Linked DNA regions of Mus musculus: all the other regions are reported to be linked to region 1. The links are microRNA targets in miRTarBase. Many come from high-throughput screens and were not tested one by one. Region 1 holds a microRNA gene; each other region holds the end of a gene's coding sequence.
The links. Region 1 holds the annotated microRNA mmu-miR-30e-5p (UGUAAACAUCCUUGACUGGAAG, at 2,186-2,207, shown strand). A microRNA usually pairs through its seed, bases 2 to 8, with sites in the 3' UTR of a target mRNA and lowers its output. Matches are read on the target gene's strand: a 7mer-m8 pairs with bases 2 to 8, a 7mer-A1 pairs with bases 2 to 7 and ends in A, and an 8mer does both.

Region 2: the mRNA of Slc7a1 is a reported target of mmu-miR-30e-5p. Seed matches in the 3' UTR shown: 8mer at 2,720-2,727 and 7mer-m8 at 3,322-3,328.
Region 3: miRTarBase lists Cyrib as a target of mmu-miR-30e-5p. Seed matches in the 3' UTR shown: 8mer at 1,957-1,964.
Region 4: the mRNA of Trim44 is a reported target of mmu-miR-30e-5p. The part of its 3' UTR that is shown has no 7-base or 8-base seed match.
Region 5: miRTarBase lists Arid4b as a target of mmu-miR-30e-5p. Seed matches in the 3' UTR shown: 8mer at 1,164-1,171.
Region 6: miRTarBase lists Slain1 as a target of mmu-miR-30e-5p. Seed matches in the 3' UTR shown: 7mer-A1 at 3,121-3,127.

What each region holds. Positions count from the first base shown.
Region 1 is chr4:120,770,773-120,774,866 of GRCm38, reverse strand. Mir30e (microRNA 30e) reads left to right here and starts at 2,170; the gene lies at 2,170-2,261. It overlaps Nfyc (nuclear transcription factor-Y gamma), which reads left to right. Exons shown (of 10, transcript NM_008692.4): 5 at 1,100-1,195. It overlaps Mir30f (microRNA 30f), which reads right to left and starts at 2,261; the gene lies at 2,170-2,261.
Region 2 is chr5:148,328,938-148,333,031 of GRCm38, reverse strand. It overlaps Slc7a1 (solute carrier family 7 (cationic amino acid transporter, y+ system), member 1), which reads left to right. Exons shown (of 13, transcript NM_007513.4): 13 at 489-4,094. The coding sequence ends at 592. Among named protein-coding and RNA genes, the nearest start is that of Slc7a1, 69 kb to the left of the region's middle.
Region 3 is chr15:63,928,249-63,932,342 of GRCm38, forward strand. Cyrib (CYFIP related Rac1 interactor B) reads right to left here. Exons shown (of 13, transcript NM_001360036.1): 13 at 846-3,431. The coding sequence ends at 3,368. Among named protein-coding and RNA genes, the nearest start is that of Gsdmc4, 18 kb to the left of the region's middle.
Region 4 is chr2:102,300,825-102,304,918 of GRCm38, reverse strand. Trim44 (tripartite motif-containing 44) reads left to right here. Exons shown (of 5, transcript NM_020267.2): 5 at 415-4,094. The coding sequence ends at 442. Among named protein-coding and RNA genes, the nearest start is that of Gm34268, 56 kb to the right of the region's middle.
Region 5 is chr13:14,197,166-14,201,259 of GRCm38, forward strand. It overlaps Arid4b (AT rich interactive domain 4B (RBP1-like)), which reads left to right. Exons shown (of 24, transcript NM_194262.2): 24 at 441-2,438. The coding sequence ends at 568. Among named protein-coding and RNA genes, the nearest start is that of Gm26129, 110 kb to the left of the region's middle.
Region 6 is chr14:103,703,382-103,707,475 of GRCm38, reverse strand. It overlaps Slain1 (SLAIN motif family, member 1), which reads right to left. Exons shown (of 7, transcript NM_198014.3): 7 at 2,569-3,640. The coding sequence ends at 3,565. Among named protein-coding and RNA genes, the nearest start is that of Slain1os, 6.0 kb to the right of the region's middle.

The sequences.
Region 1 (4,094 bases):
GATAATAATACTTTTAAAAAACAAAAAACAAAAACAACAAAAAAACCTATGGACTGGAGTGAGTGGGTCCCGGGAGCAAGTGGGGCCCAGGAGCAAGAGGAAGAAGGGAAGGGGGGAAATGAATGAATGAATGAATGAATGAATGAATAAATAAATAAAGTAAGAAAAACAAATTTATCATACCTCTCACTTCAGCCATAAAGTGATCTATTTTTAAATACATTTCAAAAATTACTTTCCCATATATACTTAACTATATCACTCACTTGAGCTTAGTGGTTTTGTTTTTGTTTTTTTAACCTTAAAACTTTCAATAAAGTACACAAATCATATGGGAGAAAAAGTGTTGATTTTTATTATTCAAAGGAAGGGGAATAATATCAGACTTGAAGAGAAAGTCCACTTGTGACATTCTTTTCAGCTCTGTGTTCACTACCTACCTATAGTAAATTCAGGCTTGAGTATTCAGGCTCAAATTCGGATTAAACTATTCATTAAGCAGTGCAGTTTTGATTTCTAAACTAAAACCCATAGGTAACATAAAAATCAAGCGACTGGATTATAAGTGCCTGTAAAAAGAAAAACAACAACAACAACAACAAACAGTGCTTAGGGCCTTTAAAAAGATCATACAAGTGAATGATGGGCTGACCTTGTGGACCACAGAATGCCAGTTGAGACTGCTGGCTTTGTCCTGAATTAGCCAGAGGATGGTGGTTTTACAACTTTATGGAAGCTTTGAAACCAGAACAAGCAGAAATAGTGGTGAGTAGGGCTCAGATGTCCTGGCCTAGAGCACGAGATATGTGTATCTCTTTCGTTGATTTCTGTCCAGCAAGTCTGATATAAATTGAGCTGTTCTTATTTTTAGCTCTAGACAAACCTAGAGATTTTTAGTACAGTCTAAAAGTCATCTCCTTGGGCTGGGGCATAGCTCAATGGTAGAATACCTGTCTAGCTTGTGTAAAGCTCTAGGTTTAATCCCAGACACTGGGACTAGGGGATAGGAGAGGATCATGTCCTTTTACTTGAAGGATAACAGCCAAAAGAACTAGATTCTTCCTAGGCCAGTTTTTAACTTTGTTTTTCTTTGTTACAGAGGAATGATATTGCCATGGCAATTACAAAATTTGATCAGTTCGACTTTCTCATCGATATTGTTCCAAGAGATGAACTGAAACCTCCAAAGCGCCAGGTGAGCTGGGAGGATTTGCTCAGCTGCCACCTCCAGGGCCTGGGCAAGATGCTCTCCGGAGCTCCTCCCTCCCTCCCACCCAAAGCATTTCTTGTTTGTGGTTCTCTTCCGTAGTCCAGATCATCCTCAGCATCTCCTTCTACTCATTTATGGGTACTTTTAACTCAGTGCCTCTGGGGTGGGGTTGCAGTGAGAGAACAAAGTTAAAAAGACTAGTCACAGATAGTGGGGTGAAGCTCAGTTCAGGATTTCTTCATCTAAAATAAAAGCTTTTTCAGCCAGTCAGTTTTCAGATTCTAAGAAACAACCTCTTTGTGCATAGTGATCAGATTGGAGCCAGTGGCTTTTATTTTCTTACTCTATGCTGTGTCTCTGTAGTGTGATGACTCTACCCATCATCCACTGAGTCAGAACCTATGACCCCATGACCCCAGGAATCAATAATTAAAGTTCCCTAGATGCTTTGGTGTCCAGTGAAGTTTTAGAACCACCATTTACATTTTTCTTTTTAATTACAAGAACTAAGTGTCTGCCCTTCTTCTGCCTGTTCATCTCCAAAGATCACACCATTTGTTTTGTTCAGCACTTGGGTGCATATAACTTAGTTGTGATTGTGATAGACCCCAGTCCTATAGAGCTCATTGTTTCAGGCACGCAGTTTGCATGATTCACTAGGTTTAGTGTAATATGCCTCAGAGAAGTAAAGCCATACCATGTCCTGCTTGTTTTATTTTTGTTCATAAAATATAAGTGTTTTTAACTAATTATTTTGTAGTATACTGTTTAGAGTCATTTAATGACAACCATTCTCCCCATGTTGACCTGTACAAATAACCAGTCAGAAAACCTGTTGGAGAAGTGGGCATCCTAATTGACATTAATTCTGACCCTGCATGAGGGTTTTTGGGTTAGCAAGCCCTGGGTCACCTCCTTATGGGAGCAGGTTGTGCCTCACTGAAGCTCTTTATTTTTCTGGGCAGTCTTTGCTACTGTAAACATCCTTGACTGGAAGCTGTAAGGTGTTGAGAGGAGCTTTCAGTCGGATGTTTACAGCGGCAGGCTGCCACAGTCGTCCCCGGCTGCGCTCATCGGCTTTGAGACATTGCAGGTTTGTGCCCATGAACTTGTCTCCTTTTCTTGGGTTACTTCCTTTCTCTCTGAGAAGTCACAAGAACTCAGACTGTCTCTCTTCGTTTGGAGCTGATAATACCATGAGCCTGTTTTCCTTATTGGATTTTTGCTCCCATGTATCCACCAGGAGTTTCCTTTAAAGACAAGGTGGTAAGATCTGTGATGCAGTCAGGCATTGCTCTTATTGTACTGATTGTTCACTATGGGCTGCCTGCTGAATAGATGACTAAAGAGAAAGTTATTATCCTATACCAGTGGTTCTCAGCCTTCCTAATGCTGCACCATTTAATACAGTTCCTCATGTTGTAATAACCTCCCAACAATAAAATTTTTTTCATTGCTATTTCATAACTGTAATTTGCTACTGTTATGAATTTTAATGCAACTATCTGTTTTTCAGTAGTCTTAGGTGATCCATGTGAAAGGATCTTTCCATCCCACAAAGGGGTCACAACCCACAGGTTGAGAGCTGCTGACCTATACCTTCCTCCAAAGTTGTTTGTTCTTCTGGGTCTGTCAGGGTGTTAGATTTGCTGGTGGTCTACCCCATCTCCCTCTTTTGTTCTTTGGTTTGGTTTGGATTTTTGAGATAGGCTCTCCCTGTGTATCCCTGGCTAGACTAGACTGTGTAGACCAGGTTGTTCTGGAACTCGGAGAGATCTATCTGCTTCTGCCTCCTGAGTGCTGGGATTCAAGGCATGGACCACTATACTTAGTCCATCTCCCTTTAAAAGGTATACAGCAAGAACACTCCTTTAGCTGCCTGGTTTTAGTTCTTTGTAGGTGTTTGAGCTATTGATTGGCATCCTATTCAGGACAGCTGCTGCCTGGCATTTAAAAGGTTGAGATTGCTGAAAGCTGGCCTGAAATTCTAAGATAGCATTTTTTAATTCTCTGTAGACATGAAGTTTTCCCAAGCTCCAAATTGGCTGGCACCTCCTAAAGTCCTTTAAAAGTGCCTACTCTCCAAAACACACCCTCTGAAGGAGGCAGCAGTTCACCCTGCCACTAAAGCAAATGTATTTTTTCCCCTAGTCTGGAGCTGGCTGCTCATCAGTGTAGTGATGACCCTGTGCTGTGATACTGTTTGTTCACTGTCACTGTTTTTCAGTCTCAGCACTGGAGAAGCCACTGTTAGTGTGGAGCAGGTACCCTTCTGTACTGAGTGTTAGCATGGAGCAGGTACCTTTCTGTACTGACCTATTCGGTCAGGTGTTTTCCTAGGGCTTGGTGCTGATCCATCTGGAAAGGGAGACACTGGATTATGAGGCTTCTCAGAGATGATTTGGAGTCTCCCTCTCTCTTTTTTGCCATGGAAGTAAGTAGATTGTCTGCAAGTAGATGGTAGTTGAGGGTTGACTTCTCCCCGACTAAGCTATGAGTTGAAAGTTCCTTGCTCATTGAAATGTCATTATCTTTTCACCCATTTCTTTAAATCAAGCATCATCATTTCCTGCTGGCTTGATCTCCATTTGCAGAATGAGTGCTTCATAAAGCAGAAGAACCTTACTTGTGCCTCCTTCCATCACAGCAATTTGAAAATAGCCATGCTTGTCCTGACAACAGTGTTCTAGAAACTGTCTAAGTCATTATTACCTGAGAGGATGCAGTAGAAAACATGGGAGAGGCTACCTGCCTGCCTGAGAGCTTTTGCTAAAGCACTATTTTGGGTTCTGGCAGAAGTATTTAAAGAATTTGCTTTTTATCTTGGAAAAACAAAACAAAACCCTTGTTCAGTGTTGTAATTATGGACACCTAGAGCTGATCA
Region 2 (4,094 bases), not on the chromosome of region 1:
ATTCCTGTGTGGGTTGCACAGGTGACCCTGAGCCATGTGTTCACAGTCCCTTGTGGGTCAGTCCTTTAAAGCATCACTGCAGATGTGGAGAGCCCTGGATGCTGGGTCAATACTGTGTACGGCCCTTGTTGACTGTCTCCTTCAGTCTAATGGGTTACTTAGGAAAAAAAAAAAAAATCAGAGCTACTAAGCCAGTCTAGGCTGGAAGTCCCAACCTGGGAAGGAACAGTGTCTCTCTGGTACTCTGATGCCACCTAGTGGTGGAAAACAGCTCAACGTCTTCTGTGACCTTCCACCCAGCCTGCTGCTCAGGGAAGCCCCTGTGCACCGCCCAGGATATACACAGTGCAAGCAGGACAGTGACTTTGGCTAATCCCATCCGGGGCCGTGTGTCGCCTCTCCGGGTGTCGAAGTCTACCTGGGCCCCCCCTGCGGGTCTGGCAGCCCTGCCTGCACTCTTCACCCTTCTGTCCCCTTTTCCCCCGTAGGTTTCACCATCTATTTCGGTTATGGGATCTGGCACAGTGAGGAAGCGTCCCTGGCTGCTGGCCAGGCAAAGACTCCTGACAGCAACTTGGACCAGTGCAAATGACGTGCAGCCCCACCCACCAGGGTGACAGCGGTTGACGGGTGCCCGTAGAAGCCTGGGACCCTCACAATCTCTCCACTCATGCCTCAGGATCAGCTCACACCCCCAATGTCACCAAAGCTGGTTTGCTGCCAGCTCGTGAGATCCTGGTCATTTCTGGACAGTCCCTTGGTTTACTCATCTCCCTCTGAACAAAGAAAGCAGCCCTTCTCCTTGCCGGCCGGCCGGGCGCTTCGCTGCTGCGGCCCCAGCAGAAGGGAGGCCCCCTTCTCCTCTCACTTGGGAAGCAGGCCTCCCTCCCTCCCTGGGACCACCCTGGCATCGCCCATGTGCACACTCCAGATGGCTAGTGAGCCTCTCCCTGTCAGCCCAGGACAGTCTCCTGACCACAAGATGCAAGACTATCCCAGCGAGGAAGCATGTGCCCCAACAGTGCTGCCCGACAGCCCATCAACTACAGAATACCTAAAGAGGAGGAACAGGCCCACATCTTACTGCTTTCTGGCTGGGGTGGTAGGATGGGGTCCCGGGTCTGCACAGAAGCATCTGTGCAGAACACAGCACGGTGTGAGCCGTTCAGGTGTGAGCCGCTCATCTCGAGCACAGAAGACGGGAGATCCCTGGAGTGACCAGTAGTGTCGAGATGAGACGGCCAGCTCAGCCCGCGTGGACTAGGGTGACATTCTCTGGTCTCATTCCTAGCAGGCCTGGGTTGGCTTTTGCTGCTCTTGGCGCCTTGTCCCCACTGTCCTGAGTCACTGGAACACAAGGCTGTATCCGTAGGGTTATTTCATTCTCTCGGGTCTTCTAAAGTTCTTCAGACAGGTGGCACTCAATGTGGGGTGGTGACGCCTTTCTGGCCACTGACGTGATCTGTGTGGCCTTTTACATCTAAGGAGTACTGCGGAGTCCTCCCCCTGCTGCTTGCTGTGAATCACTCCACTGGATTAACTTGGGGCTTAATGTTACCTTGGAAGATAGCCAAATCATTACCGACTGCCATATCAGCTTGCGGTTCAAGATGTGTGGCCTGCGCAGGAGATGGCTTGGGGTCCTATTGCTATTCCTCTTGTAGCTGTGGTGCCTTTGCCTGCTGCTGGTGAGATTTCCACCCTGGCCTGGACCTTATTCCCCTTCATTTCCCCTCCCCCACCCCACGCTCCATATCTCTCGGGGTGTGGCCTGAGGGCTGACACCTCTTCATTTACTCTTTGTAGATAGAAACTGCTTGAGAGTGCTGGTGGATTCTCAGAACCAGCAGGGTGCCCTTCCCCCACCCCACATCCCCCTTCCACCATATTGGGGTGGCGAAGCCTAGTGTCTTAGTCTAATGTTAATGCTGTTTATAAAGCCAAGCTTTCTTTTCTGTCTGGCTTTTGACCCAAGTCTGGTGGAAACAGGCTGAGTAGGTAGACTGATGGCCCTGTCTTTCCTCTGCTTTGGAAGATTCTTGAGAATGGAAGAGTTAGTGGGGCTGGACAGGCGTGTAGCCTAGTGGTAGCACACTTCCCCAGCCTACACAGGGCCTCAGCTTCCACCCCCAGCACTACGTATGGAAAATTAGGGAGATTAGAGAAACCACCTAATTGCTGGGTCAGCCAGTGGAGGACAGCTGAGCATCCAAGAGCCAGGCCCTGACCACCGTCCAGGCACTTTGTCTCCTAGGCTGCCTGAAAACACTGCAAAGGGAGTATTATAAGACCCTACATGTTGAGTTTCTAAAGGTATTTAAAGTTATGTAGATTGGTGCTGTAAAATATTTTGATAAATATTAACTTATTTTATTCGGGTCTTGATTACCTATTGTCTTCTTAGGGTCTGTTAAGTATCTGTCTGGGTTTTTTTTTTCCTTGTTACTTGAGAGAGAGAGAGAGAGAGAGAGAGAGAGAGAGAGAGAGAGAGGGCCCAGTGAGGTGTTGGAAGAATCTTTTAAAGTTTAGTGTCTTTGGCTTCTTTTTTGAGACAAGGTTTCACACTCTAGCTGGCCTGGAATAGGATTATCGTTGCCCAGTGTGGCCTCTGCCTCAGGCTCCCGAGTGCTAAGAGCATAGGCGTGAGCCTCCGCTCCTCCTGCTGAACTGTCTCTTGCTTTCTGGGTAAAACCTCCCTGTCTAAGGCAGCCTAACCATGTGTTTACAGTTGACGTTTCAGCCAGCAGCTTGTATCCCACCAAGGGGAAAGGTGTGTATCTAGGGGTTTGATCTGTCACCATCCCTCCTGAGGACCGCAAGCAACGGTCTATATATACATCTGTTCTATATGTTTCCCTGTGCGACACAGGAGCAAACACAGGCCCTGGCGGGGTGGGGTGGGGTCGGGGGGGGGGGCATCCTGAACCCACTTCCTAGTCAGGAAAAGATGCTTGAAGGCGGTGTGCCTAGTTAGTTGATTGGCCACTGAGCTCTTACTAAGAGTGGACACTTTTGGGGGTACACAGGAACAATGATGTATATAGTTATGCCTGGAGCGAGCCTCTAATGTGCTTTTTATTATGCCCCCAGTTCCTTCTGAAAGGAAAACACAAGCCCCAAACCCAAACAACACACACACACACACACACACACACACACACACACACACACACACACACACACATCCCTCCAGACCAACAGCAGGTGGTATCCCGTCTCCTAGCCTCCTGCCCAAAGAAGAGTCCCATTGGGTTTCAAAGCATGGCCAGCATTTCCTACCTAGCTGGAACTTAGACATTCTAAAGACACATTCCCATGCCTTGTTTACCTGCAGCTAGTATATTCACATTGAAAAGACCCATTTTTCCAGGAGCCTGTGCTCTTCCTGTCTCTGGGTCTAAGTTCATGAAGAAGCCAATACCCAGGAGTGGGGCACAAGATGTCTCCACCTTTCAGAAGGTGGCCCTGGTCATGGTGGTAGTGGTAGGTGGTGTCTATAGAGACATTAACCCTCCCACCCCACACCCCCGTGTATATTTGTGGAAGGGTGGGTGCACACCTAGGCCCATCCCCCATCCCTGCCCATCTCCTACAGCCAGGCCTTTGTGGATTTATTTTGCAAACAAAGAAAAAATGAGAGTCTGACCCGGGCAGTTTCTGGAAGATTGCTGGCTTTATTCTGTTTTCAGTTGTTCACAGTTTGGTTTTACAGTATGCAAATTCTGCCTGTCATCTGATATCCCCTCTGCTGGTGACTTGACTTGGGAACCACATACCAAGCACCTGCCTGAGGCTTGATGGTCAGAAGTGTCTGCAGGTTTCTCCACCTGCCCCTAGCAGCCAAGGGTTGGACATACCCCACCCCCAGCCCCAACTCCTGAGCACATCTGGTACAGCCGGTGTGTGCACAGCTAAGGGAATATGTACCCTGCTCCACCTGTCTACTGCCTGATGCTCTCATGCATAGGGCTGGGATTACCAGTGGCCGTGTTTGTACCTTGGCCCTAACCCCACACAGACATTCTGAATTTCGGAGTGTTCATAGTCTCCTCTAGCAAGGAACTTGCCCAGCACTGGGTAGAAGCTTGGCAACA
Region 3 (4,094 bases), not on the chromosome of region 1:
CAAGTCTTTCCACTGTCGTCTGTGATTACACACTCAGTTGAGGGGCTATTTAAGAATTTCTGGCATGCCAGTTACTGAAATCTCAAACAGAACCAGAAAGGCATTTCAAATCTAAGAAAGTACTTCAATTCAGAAACTTAAGATTTGAGCACACAGATGCCAATTATCTTCATCAGCCTAAAATACTTGCAGCCATCTTGGTGGCCCAAAATGCTAATCTAAATCTTTGTGAAGTGAGCAAATGGAAGTTGAAAGCACCATGCATCCATGACAGGGACTGAAGGAGAGGATGAAGATAATCACGAGTGTGCTTTGCTAGAAGATATGGTAGCTTACCCTGTTTTGAACCAGGAGCACATGGTCCAAAAGTAGGCTGGGATATATGCTGATAGAAACATCCTTTAAGAAAAGCAGAGGGGCAAAAGGAGGCAAGCTTTGTAGTATCTGCAAAGCAGGGTCAACTTCTGTACAGTGGACACGCAGACCCTTTGCTGAGGCTTGTGCTGTGCCCAGCCACAGAATCACTCACTCTAAAGGCAGTTTCTTAAGCAGAGAAAAAAAAATGATGACCATGCCCACATGCCTCTTGGATTCCATGAATGGAAACTAGCAGACCTGAGGCTGAGCTCACTGCCCAGCAGCAGCTCCTCCATCACTGCAGCAGTGTGCCCTATTACTCCAGGCTGTCAAACCAACGTCTTCTCTCAAGGAAAGGGACTGGCAAATTCTATACAGGGCCAGAACATACTTTAGCCTCTGATGGCCAAAAGATCTTTGTCACAATTTGATTCAATGCTGCTATAATGAGCAAATAGCCATAAATAATATATATATACAAATGAGGCTATGTTCAATAAAATTTTATTTATGAACACTGGAGTTTGAATTTCATATACTTTTCTCATGCTACAAAATATTTTTCAACTTTTAGAAAAACATTTGTTATCCTTTATTCTCCCGACATTTTAAAAATCATTCTTAATTCACAGGTTGTGTAGGTCCAGAGGGAGGTGAATTGGCCCACCGACTGGGCTACTGACCCCTAGGCTAGAGTTAAAGATTTTTTTGCCAACTTAATCTTCAACATGCAGAGTGTGAACCATGTTACCTGAAAGGCCACAGCAGGATTACTACATCTACTTCATTTATCAGTCCTCACTCACTCCATTCAATTACTCACTTGGCAGCTCTCCATATTTAGGTACTATGCAAGATCCTTGCTTGAGACACTGAAGGAATAAGACATGGCTCTTCTCAGGTTCTCAGTCTCTGCAGCATCTAGACATTGTAACTTCTCATGAGTATCAGAGAAGATATAAAAGTGTAGTGATGTATCAGGCTGTTTTGTGAGACAGTTGTATTCAATGCTTAAGTTGACTGTAACAAATTACCACAAACTAGGTGGCTTAGAATAGAAACTTATTTTTTTCATCATAATAGAAGTCTGAAATAAAAACAGCAACAGGGTCGCTTCCTTCTAGAAACTCTGATGGAAAGTGTTCCATGACCTTCTTCTGGCTTCTGTGGTCCAGGAAATTTCAAGATATGATGTTACCTTTGCCTCTATCCTCCCAGGACCTCCACTGCTTGTTTCCCCTTCTTTTCTCTTAAAAGGACTTGTCAGTAGGGCTAGGACCCACTCTCATCCAGGACGATGCCATACATACATAGGTCCTTACATTCACCTGAAAATGCCCTTCTTCAAAATGAGGCCATATGTACAGGTTCCAGACATTACCCTTTATGGAGTAAACTATTAAACCCATTATAACACTGTAGAAGCCTCCTGGAAGACATGGCCAATGTCATCTAAATGGTTTTTGGAGGAAGTAAAAGAAGCTGATTTTTGAAAGATGACAGCTGGTGTTGGTCAGACAAACATGAAGGAGAGAAGAAGGAAGACCAGGTTCAGGTTGTAGCCAGATCAGTTACGAAGCAACACCACACGGAACAATCTGTAAACAGCAAGTAGTTAAGCTTGGCTGGAGAGCAGGGTAGGAAGTGGAACACGAGTAAGCAGGAGGCCAGAGAGGTCAACAGGAACTTTACCATCAAGTGCCGTGTGCACCACAATCTGGCGCTCTGATGGAGAGGGTCCAGAGGGCAGCCTGTGATCATCTCCCATGGTTAAGCACTTTAACTGTGTCCCACCTCAGGTCACCTTGTCATTAAGTCCCTGACAAGGCTGAATTCGACAACTTTCAAGCAGCTTCTCTCAACTGAGACACATTTCTTTGCCTTGGGCTTTATGATTTTAAATTGTAACTCATGTCACTTCCTACGACCAGTGAGATCTCGGACTTTCATTTATTTCCTCTGGAAGTACTCTTATTGCTCACTCTCCTCCAATGTCAAGGGCTCCTCGTGCCTTCGAGACACCATGTGCTTCCTGTCACCGCCCTTTCATTCCTGAAACCGAGAGCTGAGAAAGTACGGGTTTCCTTCTATGACTACGCTCACAAAGATTAAATCAGAACAGAAGTCAAGTTAATGTCGACACAATCACTGGTCATCTTATACACAACAGTTTTAAAAGCAGTCTAACTTATGTACATAGACAAAAAGTAAAGCAAAACAACTGAAAAAGACATAGCTATTGCCTAAGAGAAAGAAAAATTATGTAATGTGTATATGCATTCCATAGAAATATATACAGGGAAAACTTCCAGAAACCTCAGTAAACCAAGCCACACTTAGAAAAAGGAAAGCTGATTTTTATTTTATCAACAGCCATTCTTAAACATGAACATGCATACGTAATATTCTACGCACACATCACAGTTTTTAACGTTAGTTAATAAATGTTAAACACACAACATACAACCTTAAAAAAAAAGTCAACCTGCAAACTTAAAACTTTAAACAAAGTCTTACTAATTTAAAAAAGGTTTTGTGTTGGGTACCATTTGTACAACACAGTTAATTTAAACATTTCCATTTTGGCTGCACATGAAAAAGCGGCAGTAGAAAATAAATTTATGAGGGTTTTAAATAGCAGAATAGGCAGTTTCGCCATGCAGGAGAAGCAATATTAAATATTAGTTTTCAAAAAAAATCCACATTTAAAAATATTTAGTTCAAGTCACAGAACTTTTCTCAGTAGAGACCTCAATGCAATGCGTAATTAGCTGCCTTAGATGGCCTGTTTTGAAAGGACAAAATCCCTTTCAAAGTATAACTTTACTGATTTTGGCACAGAAAAGAAGTCTTAAGAACAAGAACATGATTTAAAAAGTGGGAAGAGGAACAGAGGAAAGAAACCAAAGCAAGAATAAGGAGATTTGATGGCATTCACTAAGACTGTGCATTCTCGGTCACTGAAGAACACTGTGTGCTCCATCTGCAGTAGGGGCTTGCTCCACAGCTCTTACTGCAGCATGGACCTAATTTGCTTGGAGGTAGTCTCATCATTCAAATGTTTTGTTGTGTACCTATACAAAATAGAGAGAGAGAACAATGTTGGAAAATGAAAGTCTGTATGGGCTGTGTAATATGCCAAGATGAGTAGCTGATCACTCAATATCACAAATTCATGCCTTAGGGTGAGTTTTAATCCTGATCAGGCTCTCTCCCCCATCCAACAGGAGCAGCCAGTTTCTGGTCACTTGGTTATAGGGACCTCGTTGAAATGATTAGCCAAAAATCTGAAACAATTTCGCTATGTTTTACTCTATGCTGTATAAAAACAGTACCTTGAAATACTTACATTCTCTAAGTACCTTATTTCAGGGTAGGTACACTTTGAATAAGCGTATAAGTCCAAACTCAAAATGAATTCAACAAGATGAAATATTCAATTTTGAAATCAAATTGACTCTAAATAATACAACACCAGCCTGCAAGTCTCCGATGTCTTCCAGGAATTACTACCCAACAGGAGAAGGAAAGTGTAAGAAAGAGGCTAGTCAGGGGTAGGGCTCTGGAAAAGCAAAAAAATTATATGTGAAATGTTTATAAGCCAAATCAACCTATTTGAATTATCTTCTGAATACATTCTAAATCCAAGCATTGCAAGCCTGTCTGTCGCTGCTGATCAGGTACAATTTTAGGCTTCCTTTACTCCTTAGTATCAGCTCTTCAGTCGAAGGTCCTGT
Region 4 (4,094 bases), not on the chromosome of region 1:
CTGCTGATGATTGGTTTTCTGATCTAATAATAGATGTCTTAACACCTAGAGGAAATAAAACTGGTTTCTACCAGCAGTTTATTTTGTTAATTAAAATTTTAAAATTCAGTCTGACAATCTTCCTGCTCTTTTACTTACTGGTTGTATACTGGGCATTGTGTATTTTACACGTGTTCTTAATTGATTCTCCCAGAACCCAAGATAGTAAGTCCTTTTTTTTTTTTTTTTTTTTTTTTTGTAAATTTTCATGACAACGGTAGTTAAATTTAGAAATCAGAAATCAAAGCAACTAAGACACTTTGCTGTGGGCCTACTGCTCAGTCATGATAGAAGCAGCACAAAGCTGTCAACCTGTACTGCGTTGCCTCCTTTCTGTGACGTTTGAACTCACTTGCTTCTCCTTTTCCTTTGTAGCGGTGCCAGTGAAGAAGAGGACACATGAAGACTTAGCATTCCCTGCAGAAAACGCCCCTTCCCCGTGTGTGTGTGACAGCGTGTATGTAATGGCTTCTGATATCTGTGAAAGCTGCCAGGCAACAAACTTCTTCTACTGGAAATGTCCCCAGATCCACAGCAGGCACACATGTTCCCAAGGGACCAGGGGTTGTATGCATTCTGACTGTGTGCTTCTTGTTCTCTGTGGTAGGTCATGGGAAGAGCCCTTTTGATCAACTTGGAGGGCTCTTCAGCTAACCCCCCAATGGCTGCTTTGAACTTACTCAGGAAAGCCAGCCCCTGGAATATTGTGCAAGTCAACACTATCACTTCCTTAGGAAGGTTCTAGAACATCTCGAAAGGATATCAGTTTTCCTTACCTGCAAACAGAAAACAAACCCACTTTGTTTGTACTGAAGCTTAAAGCAAATGTGGCCAAGTGGGGCCAAACTGACTCAATAGGCAGTCTGTCATAGTCCAGTTCTGCCTCTGTGAAAAGTGTTAGGGCAACTGGGTTAAAATAGGGTTGGAGAAAGAGTCCAGAGCTAGAAAGAAGATATTTTTAGTATGTGAGGTTATCTAGGACTTAAGTTTCATAATTCAGTGCTGTGGAAATGGGAAAATGATTGAAAAGGTAGAAAGGAAATGACCTTAAGGACTGGGGTGAGGCACAGAAATCTGATTAAAGGTTGAAATCAGTGTTTCAGAATTCAGATTGCCTCAATTTTCCAAAATGGTCACTAAAGCATCTGATAAAACCCAGAATTCTTCGGCCAGCTGTGTGGATTAACAGGCCTGTCACAACATAAAAGGCTGGCATGTATATTGGCAGGTGGAGATTGTCACTGTAAAACTTAGCAGTTTCACTCCGAGGTTAGTCTATGGTGGTCAGTGCACTGTGAGGGGAATCCTTGTCCCTCCCTGGCAGCTAGCAAACATTCCTCTATTTACTATAATTGGAATCCTCCCTTCCCCTGCAGCAGGCCGTCAGCTCACCTCACACAGCCCAGTTTTCTCTTCATGTAGCATGTCCAGGCATGCTCCAGAGCTGGGTTTCCTGGCCTTCCCACACTCCCAGATCACAGTCTCTTACAACCATGCTTTTCAGGATCCAGGAAGTAGTAAGTGTGCTGGGAGATACCCAACTAACTGCAAGCTCACAAGCACCACATCTTCTTGAGACATCAGTTTTTCTTTCCAAATGATTTGAAGTCAAGAGATGACCATATTTTTTAATGGAACAAATGCTTATGTTATACAAGAGAATGTTCATACACCTAAAGTGCTAAACTAAAATAGGAAACTTGGAAGGAAACTCATATTTGTAAGTGGACAGTGATTCTATCTCCTCTGCTTGTGTGGTATTTCCATGTTCACTTTGAGATTTTGTCTGAACTGGATTCAGGCAGCCTTGGGGTTGCTGTTGATCAAGGTCTAGACTTCCAGATCCAAGGAGTCCACCTTGGAGTAGTACATCTCCCTTTTCCTGTCAGCCAGCTTGCCTGTGTACTTATCACAAAGCTTTAGGGGCAGCTAACATGTGTATGTACAGGATAGTTCTGAGGCAGAAACAGCATAGACTTATTGTAGGAGTCCTATTTATGTCATTGTTCAGCCCTGTGCATGCTAGAAAATGATTTATCCCTTTGAGGCCAGGAAACTGCCAAGCCACTCTGCTGTAGGCTAGGATTACTGAAACTCACCACACATACAAGGATATTGGGGCAGAGCGGAGTGTGAGATCTAAAAATATGTATACTTTCCCCAGCTGGTGGCTAGTAGATGGCTTAGACAATTTTGGTGTCTTACCATCTGTCTGCAAAGACTGGAGAATTTAATACATCTTGAGTTGACAACCTCCAGTGATATCCTGTTCTGCCAAAATTTTAAAAGAAGGGCCACTGTAGAAAGAGTGTAAACTATCACAAGATTGAAAAGACTTGACAGTTTGGAAGCTTGTCTTGTCTTTCTCAGTAATCATTGATCTTTACATGTTGACCTTATATTAGCAATGAACAGATCATTGCCTCTCCACCCAATCATGCTATTTCTTTAAATCAGTATTTGGGGAATGCAAGCATTTATGCAGTGGTTATAAACAGAAATATAAGATTTGCCAACCTGTCTCTTTAAATTACCATCTCTCTGAAATCCTCAAGGAAAGCATTTTCCCTTTACTTAGTAAGGGTTTCAGATTCACTTTATGGGCTCCTGCTGTCTTCAACACTGATAAAACTTTAACCAGAAAAGCATTAAACACAGCACAGCAGCCCCTAGCCCAGATCCCTAAGTTCCTAGTGGCAGCATTTATCAATGTAAGAACAAGAATACTTTCTGTACTGGTATCAGCTTCGTCCTCAAAGCTATGACCTCTTACTTGGCCTTGTGCCCCATAGTGAACGAAGCTTCTTGCCTTTCCAGGTCAGTGTGAGTTAAGATTGTCAGAGTTGTATGTGTCCTGACAGACTGTGGACAGCAGGGTTTGCCCAAATCATCAAGTGATACAGGTAATGAATGTCTCTAAAATAAGTTGGGTCCTCCAAACAAGTCCTGGATACCTTCTGAATGTTAAGTTTCTGAGTGCTGAGAGTAATTTGTTCATTGGTTTGGTTTGATACCGTTATATCTATCTAGGGCAGTTCCAAGAAGTGCTTGACTTCTCAGCTCTAACAGCCAGTAAGAGTAAGTAACCTTAGTACAGGCAATGAGCCTCTGTAGATGTGCAGAGGACAAGTCACTTGTCTGTAGTTGCTAACAAACAATGGAACCAGTTTTGAGCACAGCACTCCCTGCTCTGCAGTCAGCCCTCTGCCCCACACCATGACTCACCTACAGATTGAGAGAGAGAAAGGCTTTCAGTTCCCCCAGTGTAGTATGCCCATTCACACTCGGAATTCTTTTTCAAAGACATCAAGATGGCCTTAGTACTCTGCTCTAGTAGATGTTGTAAGTATTCATTGTTCCTTCCAGGAGCTGGATTTTTGGTACAGTCCCCACAAAGGAAAATAAAGGCCTTCAAGAGTGTAAAGTTTTTAGACAGAGTTGGAGGTAATGGTAGTCTTCTAACATTATCTAAATATCTCCTGCTTCATTACTATAGAAAGCAACTCTTCATGTTTTAGGAAACCCAGCTACCATGTTTGTACTCTGAGAAGGTGCCAATACAAATCACTAATTTTGGACTCCCTTCCTGGAGTGTGTGTGTGTGTGTGTGTGTGTGTGTGTGTGTGTGTGTGTGTGTGTGTGTGTGTAAATGAGAATGAGATTTGTACACACCCACATATTCTATACCACTTAATTAAGAGTTAAGTGAAGTTCAAAGCAGCCCCTGGTGATCTTACTTAACACCACAAAGTTTTCTACTAGGTCCATGAAAGTATAAACAGATAATTGGAGTGTGACTGCTGGCTTTCCAGAATAACCCACTTGTGGTAGATGTCAACTCTTACAGCTCCAAGCCAAGGTGACGACAACCCAGCCCTCTTCCACCATGTCTAATAACATGGGACATGGTAGATGCCTTGTCATTTGGTGACCTGGATCTGGGCCCGAGTTTAGAGCTGCAGAATTTATAACCTTGTAGTAGTCAGTGGTCTAAGAAGTCCTCTCTCCCCACAGAGAAAATGTCTTGCTGATTCCTGATATTCTACTCTCATAAG
Region 5 (4,094 bases), not on the chromosome of region 1:
GTGGTGCAGAATGAGGTATTAGAAAAGTAGCAGACAGACAATTTTCCTGTTTTCATTCAAAACTGTGTGGGTAGTTAGTGAACAAAGTTACTCTTTAATTATGTGTTCTGCAGTATGTATACACAAATCCTTTCCTCCCCTCCCTCTTCCCTCTCCACCTTGCTTTCTTTTTCCTTTGACAGGGCTAGGAATAGAACCAATGTCCTTGTAATCCCATCAAGTCCGTTGCCACTGAGCTCTGCCGTCTGTGGTTTGCAGATGGGCAACAGTCTGCTGCTGGCTTTCCCTTTCTTTATACTGTGGTACTTTGTGCAGGGATGGCTCCTATACACTGACTTTGGAGAACACAAGAGAAGTTTAGGCTGAAGCTGAGTGAGCTTTTTGCATCTTCCCAGTGCAGCCTGCTTTGTAGCCTCACGTGTGCTCTTCCTTCTTCTCAGGTGCTGCTACATCTTCTTCCTCCTCTTCTCCCTCGTCCAGCTCCATCACAGCTGCTGTTATGTTGACACTAGCTGAACCATCAATGTCCAGTGCATCACAGAATGGAATGTCAGTTGAGTGCAGGTGACAGCAGGACTTGCTAGAGCACTTTGCACTTAATGGCTGTTGAGGGCCACATCTTTTTTTATACTGCACAGTGGCACACAAACACACAAAATCAGACAAGCACTATTTTATATTTAAAAATTATTTCTTGACAAGCTGACTTGGCACTTAAGTGCACTTTTTTTATGAAGAAAAAGTACAACGAACTGCTTTTCCTCAAGCAATAATTGTTTCCAACTTGTCTGGGAATTGCGTGTGTCTGGTAACTTGAAGGCCTTCCACTGTGGCAGAGGAGGCTTTTCACTGCCTGTAGAGACGACACAGTAGGCAGAGAAAAGGTGGGCCAGAACATGTGAGAAGACTTACTGTATATGTATTCCCTTGTATTTTGTTAAAGCTGGAACATTTGATATTTTTCCATTCATTTATTAAAAATATGAACCTATTTTCATTTGTACAAGCTAATTGTTTTTTAAAGCAAGTCACTTTAGGGTGACTTTAATTGTATAAGTCAAGCACATGTAACAAATTCAAGACTTGCAGTTAGTTAACAGGATATTATTAGACATCATCCTGGTAACCAAATATTAAAGATTCTCTTTAAAAATGACTGAACATGTTTACAGGTTTGAATTAGGCTAAAAGGTCTGTGGTGGCTTTTCACACCCCTTCAAATTGAAATGGGACTACTGTACTTTGCCATTTTTCTATAAATCAGTATTTTTTTTTAATTTTGATATAATACATTGTGTGAAAAAAGAAAATGGCTAATAAACTGTATTAAATCTTAAACAATGTATAAAGATTGTACTTAGCCAGTTCAAAGTGTATATTTATTCATAATGAATTATAACAGTTATATTTTTGTGTTTTCTTGTAAATGTTTCTTTTCCCTTAAATACAGATAATTCATTTGTATTGCTTATTTTATTATGAGCTTACAACAAAAAGACTTCAGGAACAAACTGTTAGAATGGTTCAAGGTTGTTTATATGACCTGCCTCACAAAGATGGTTATTATTTTAAGTATAAGTAGCTAGTTGGGTAGTAGGCCTATACAATTCAATGCCTTGTATAAACTGCAGAATGAACGCCAAGCTGTTTTCACTTGTATTGACTTTATGTTGTATGATTCCAATCTCTGTTTGGCACTTGTATTTAATTCCCCACCTTTGTAATACATTTGTATATTGCGGATGTGTTCATTGAGGCTATTTAAAACCTGGCGCTGTTAATACACAGTACTTCACTGTACAGACCGTTTTACTGTTTTAATTGTGATTCTGTGTGCTTTTTTTGAATGAGGCTGGCATGTTTTATTTGTTTTCTGGCAATACATGTGAGAATCTCGAAGCGTTTTGTTGTAGATGCTAACGTGTCAGAATCCTTAATCCTTTACATTGAACCTTTCTAAGAAAAGCATTTTCAGTCTTGTAATGTGTGCTTACAGTAACTAATTTTGTTGAAAAATGATTTCAAATTACTCAAATTTGTACAGACTGTAAAGATTTGTTGACAGCAAAATGTTGAAGAAAAAACTTATAGAATAAAACTATAAAGTATATATTAGGATCTGCAAACATGATGAATTATGTAATATATTGTACAAATGTAAGCAAAAGCTCTGAAATAAAATGCCATAGTTTGTGAATCCTTGATTTTGTTTGTAGAAGGTAAAGTAATTTGAGTTCACTTTGTATGTGATGAGTGCTGAGAGTCCATGCAGCCTGTATTACCTATCACAAGGGCTCACATCCGTATCCCAAAGGGAGTGTTCCGCTGTTCAAAATTAAAAGTCCCTTTATACAGTGCTGGGTTGTATAGCATGTACTTAGTGTGCTCCAGTCCTTGGCTTCAGTTCGCAGCACTGCACCAAATCAAACCGTAAATTCAAAAAAAAGAAAAAAAAAAAAAGTAAGTAAAGTGATGTTTTTAGGCTGTTATTATATAACTTTGCTAGAGTCTGAATACAGATTTTTTTGTTACAGTTGGGGGGAGGGGGGCATTGTCCAAAGAAGGAAAAAGGTAAGTACAATTTTAAAACTATATTTTGGGGCTAGCAGAGGTAAGCACTGATGACCAATCTTGATTTATCAATCCCTAGAACCCACATAGTAGAAGGAAAGACTGTCTCCTGCAGTTATCCTCTGCATTCACATACACAAAATACACAATAGAAAAGGATGTTTCTGCAGTGTATAATGGCCCATACCTGTAATCCCCAGCCTCAAGAGGTTGAGGCAGTTAGATCTTGAGCTACAGACGGAGTCTGTCTCAGTAAACAAACCTTGTTTTTCCTTTTTCTTGAGAATAAAATTGCTATATTGCCCAACCTGGTTTCAGTCTCACAGATTCTCAATTCTGCCTGAGACTCAAAGTGCCAGTATTATAGACCAGTAGTTTCTTAAAAAATTTTATTTTTCTCAGAATTATTACCTACAGTGTCTCTTGTCATTTAATATGATGGAGCCTTTCTGGCTCTGCTTTGAGTAACACCTCTGTACCTGTTACAGGAATCCAGTAATCATTGTTAAACCAGCCAGTATGCCTCTCCCCATTTCCAAGGTGCCCTAATTTACCTGATATATTGTATATTATCTTTTAAAAAAAACACTGAAGCAATTTAATCTGTAATCTCTCAGTGTAGAGTCCTTTCTTATATAGACCAAGCTGGCCTTCAACTCAGATTTACCTGCCCCTACCTCCTAAGTGTAGGCATTAGAGGTGTGTACACTACACCTGGCCTTAAGCCACTTGCTCCCAAATATGTTCATTGTGGCACTTAAGGAGGAAGAAAGTGGAAGAGATGGGCTTATAGTCAGAGGGTCTTGAAAGTCATCTAACAAATTTGTACTATATCACTGCAACCAGTGCGGGGGTTAGGTATCAAAAAATGTGCTGCCACTTGAGAGGAAGGGGGTGGTAGCACAAACTCGATGGTGTTTCAGTCAGAGCCCAGGAGTCTTCAAGACTCCATAGCTTGCCTTTCTCCTCTTACACAGGTAAGAAAACAAGGACCGACAAAGGGGGAGTCTCAACAGAGTGCTGCATGGCCCTTGTCATTCTCTTTAGTATTCCTTTCCCCAGCTGCACGTAATACTGATGGCTGGCAGAACAGAGGTGGGTTCCTGGCCAGAAATTGCTCTTGCTTTTGAAGACAATCTTGAAGAATGAGGACAGTGAACTTGTACCTGATCCAACTGACTCCTGTACCTAATACTCTTGAGCTTCGATGCATCACATCTAAACCATGAAGTTGAGGCATGAGAATAGGTCTGAACAGGCTAGGAGGAATGTACACACTCTGCTGCAGTTTGATCATTGACGTGTCAATTTAAGTTGGCCTACAACTTACCCATAAGGAGATGATCGCATGCTCATGGCCAGCTTTTCAGACTTCTTGTACACCCAAGTCCAGGTTTCCCTAATCGGCTCAGGGCAGCACGACAAACAGGAGACCTAAACCATCAGTTCCCCAGCTCCTGAGTCCCGATCAGCCACAGCCTGCTTGGAGAAGGGTTCAGAATGGAGGGACAAGGCCCCATCTC
Region 6 (4,094 bases), not on the chromosome of region 1:
AGAGGTGGCTCTAGAGGTCCTGAGTTCAATTCCCAGCAACCACATGGTGGCTCACAGCCATCTGTAATGGAATCTGATGCCCTCTTCTGGTGTGTCTGGAGACTGTGACAATATAGTTACATATATAAAATAAATAAATCTTAAAAAAACAAACAAACCAACCATGGCAGGGCTGAGAGACAGCTCAATATTTATGAACCAGTGTCCAGTCCAGTGCGGGTTCCCAGCATCCACATCAGCCTGCAGCCTGGTTACAACTGCTCAGAAAGGTGCTCTGATACCTCCAGACTCCTCAGGAACCTGTTTGAATGTTCCCTCTCTTCCCCCCTCTCTCTCCTCCGACCCCATCTCTCATACACACACACACACACACACACACACACACACACAAGAAAACACACAAGTCTTCTTTTAAAAAATTGTAAAAACTCAAGTAAACAAAAATCCCAATGGCCTGGCATACTGTAGTAAATAAATAATTCTACTCATCAAAATACCTAAGAGAATTAAAAGAAAACACATATAAATGAAAAGGGCTTTTAGAAAAAAATAAGAAACATTGTAAACCAATAAAAGCCATAGAAAAATGAGCCCGAACAAGGATCTATAAATAAATATGTATGAGCATTCAATAAATGAATGAAAACGAAAGGATATTTAATCTCACTAGCACCCCAGAAGATGAGAATGAAAACCACAGAGACACTAACACGCCTCCAATTTAAATATAAAGATCAGCAATGCCATCACCTTGGGAGAACTGGACCTTCTCACACACTGCTGGAAAAGTGTGGAGCTGTACCACTTTTGGAAATTAAACGGGCACACATCCGACGAGGGTAACAGAAATGTTTTACAGTTTCTACAGGGGCCTCCACAATTCTTATCTCTAGATACTTACACTCTTGCATAACTCCTTCCTCTTGAAGACTGGACCTAGTGATAAGCTTTTGATGAACTGACTGCAAAAGTGGTAGCATGCCACTCTGCAGACGAGGTGTGCGGGCTCTCTGCTTTCACCATGTTGCTGTCCACAATTGGCTCTTCCCTTCCATTCTCCACCAATGCCAGTCACGGTACATCAAGTCAGAGATTGATTCTCAAAATTCTTCTTCAGAGGAAAGTCCAAGACCTCACTGTGGCCTACCTGGGCTTGGCTGTCACCTCCCTGATCTCATCCCCATGACTCTCATCCTTGTTCTCCAAATCCCCCAAAGACACTTCAGCTACTGCTGTGGGGACCAAGTATGACGACCATCCACGTATCCACTACATATTATGCTTTAAGTATGCTTCTATTATGCGTATCCTACAGTGAAGAGTGAAGACATCCACGATTTTGTGTTACATAGAATTTCCAGACGAAAAACATCAGGAAGGCTCTTGAGAACCGAGGCTCTAAGTTTTTGTTCAGTGCAGAGCGTTCATGACATCTGCCCAGCTGTCTGTTTGCACAAGCGATTTTTATGATGTCCAATGTTTTCTCTGCTTTCCTTACCTGAGCTACTTCTACGTAGCTCCACGACTCTCAGGATGGAGCAAGGTGGTTTAGTAACTTGTTTAAGGTTTTACACACTCGAGAAGAAGAATATAAAATCCAAGATGAAGATACCTTCACCTCTAACCCCTAAAGGGAATAGCCAAACTGAAAATCCATTAAATCCTTTAACTCTGTTCAGAATAAAATATATCAACTGATATGTATATATATAAATATATATATATATATGTATATATATATATATATATGTGTGTGTGTGTGTGTGTGTGTGTGTGTGTGTGTATACGTTTATGATATATGCTAACTTGACTACACATCTTCACAGGAAAGAACATGGTAGTAAAGAAAACGACGTCTGAGTCAGACGGACAAAAAGCAGCTTCACAGATTCCCAGCCAATTGCTCTCCAAGGCTGACATTGCCTGAGATGCAGAGTCTTCAAGGGGGAATAACAGTGTGACTGATAGATTTTAAGGTCAATTAATGTAAGTAAAACTGCCTAACATGGATGTTATCACTAAAGACACGCCTGGTAATTATTATTTCCTCGTTCATATCCATTTCCAGGTACCTATCAATTTTCAGTAAATGTTACTTCTACAAGCTGTTTCAGCTCTGTATAGAACGATGTACAGAAAAGTTAAAAGCTGATGAGTAACCACAGACACCCTTCACAGCTTTGGTGAAGCCATGCTGTCTTCACAGGAGGCCGTTCACAGATCAGTGGCAGTATTTTCCTATTTTACCTACACTGAGAAGTTTTCTAACTCAACATCCCAAGGCTGCTCGGGTCCCCAGTGACACTGTGCTCATTCAAAACCCAGTCCTCAACAGACTCTGCTTAGTGGCCTTTCTGGGACCAAATCTTGTCACACAGCTAAGCCTCGGATTTCTTATCAAACTAATTGTGGAGACGAGAAAATGTAATCTTTACAACTGGGCTCTCCGAGTGTGTCGGCCACGCCCCCGTCCACGAACACCACCTCGGCGCCTGCTTCCCCAGCTGTAATGAAACACGGGCGTGGGAGCCCCACTTCTGATGCTGCACATTCATGCGTGAGCTGATATTGCTGAAATAGAGTCTTTATTTCCGAACATTCCAAAACAGCAGTGTACACAGTAACAAACAGTAAGTCATAGACCCTAAGAAAGCATTCATTAGTGCAAATGGGTTTTTGTAAAAGGTCTATCAAAAAGATTTATTTAAAATGCATTCGTTTCCAGAAGCATTGTTAATAAAACATTACAGTTTCATCCTTTGTAATAAAGTATTGAAAATCAATTGTGTGGTTGAGTAGCAAACATTGCGGGTCTTAAGTGCAATGAGCTTGTGATACCATCATAAATATGAAACTCATGTAAGACAATAAATTAACAATGAAAAAGACAAGACCGTTTAACTCTGCCGTCTGGCTGTCTCCTTGCAACGCTTTAGATTAAATTGTGCTCGTTCAACGTAAAATTATGTCTCAAATCGTATGGTGTGTTTTTGCTGATATATCCCTAGAGCTAAAAAAATAGTACCTTACCACAAAAATATTTTTATGGCACAAAATTTAAGTTGTTCCATAGTGGTTCACATAGGCATAAAAAGAAATAGGCACAAAAAATAAAATTCCTGTAAACTATAAAAAATTAAAATTCAAACCATGTTATAGAACCTAGTTGTAAATATGCAATGTATTAAAATGCAGAACATGTAATGGAAGGTGTTTAAAACATGTAGGTAAAATGAACAAGGTACTTTTAAAAACCTCATATGGCAAAGCATTATTGATACGCCTCAATCTCTCTCAAAAAGTATTCAGATACGGAGCAGTTCTACAAAAACTTCCTAGATCTAAGGTAACGATACCGCGGCCGCGGGTTTGGGAACGCCGCAGTATCTCAGGCAGAGAGTAGGTGAGCTCGTTAGTCTCTGGTGATTGGTCCACTGAAAACGATGCCGTGCGTGTGGTTAGCGTGAAGGGGAAAGCATCCCAGCATCCATGGTTACCCAGCCAGCTAGGTAACACACCCTCATTTTCACTTCTTCCCATTCTTCAAGGGTCCGTAAAACTGCATCAGTAGCAACCGTCTCTCCAATTTCCATCCCTCAGTGTGCTGAGTGAAGACAGAGGCTTGGGAGGCTGCAGGAAGCTATGAAGAGAGGAAAAGGCAGACGCGCTGTTAGTAATCCCGCCAGGCACATGACTTGCTCTGGTCCCCTCTCCCATCGGGGTTCCTTCATCCCATAAGGACAAGCTGTTGGCACTGTCACAAATGTGTATCAGGTTATGTCCTTCAGGCTTCTCCTAGTGTCTGCCTGTCTGCTGGAGCTGAGGCCTGAGCAGAGTCACATGTGTGCACGTGCACAAGGTTAAAAAAAAAAAGATAGAAAGGAAAAGGTACGATCCTTGATGGAAAAACAGCTACAAGCATAAAGCAGCTTTGTTGAGCACATGCATACATTCTTAGCATTTGAAATATTTTTTCTATGATAGCAACAAAGAACTGAAAAGTAATTTTGAAATATTTCAGGATTTTGAAAAATAACTTTGAAAATCCAATGTTTTCTCAAGTTTGAAGTAAACAAATCCTCTTCATATTCTAT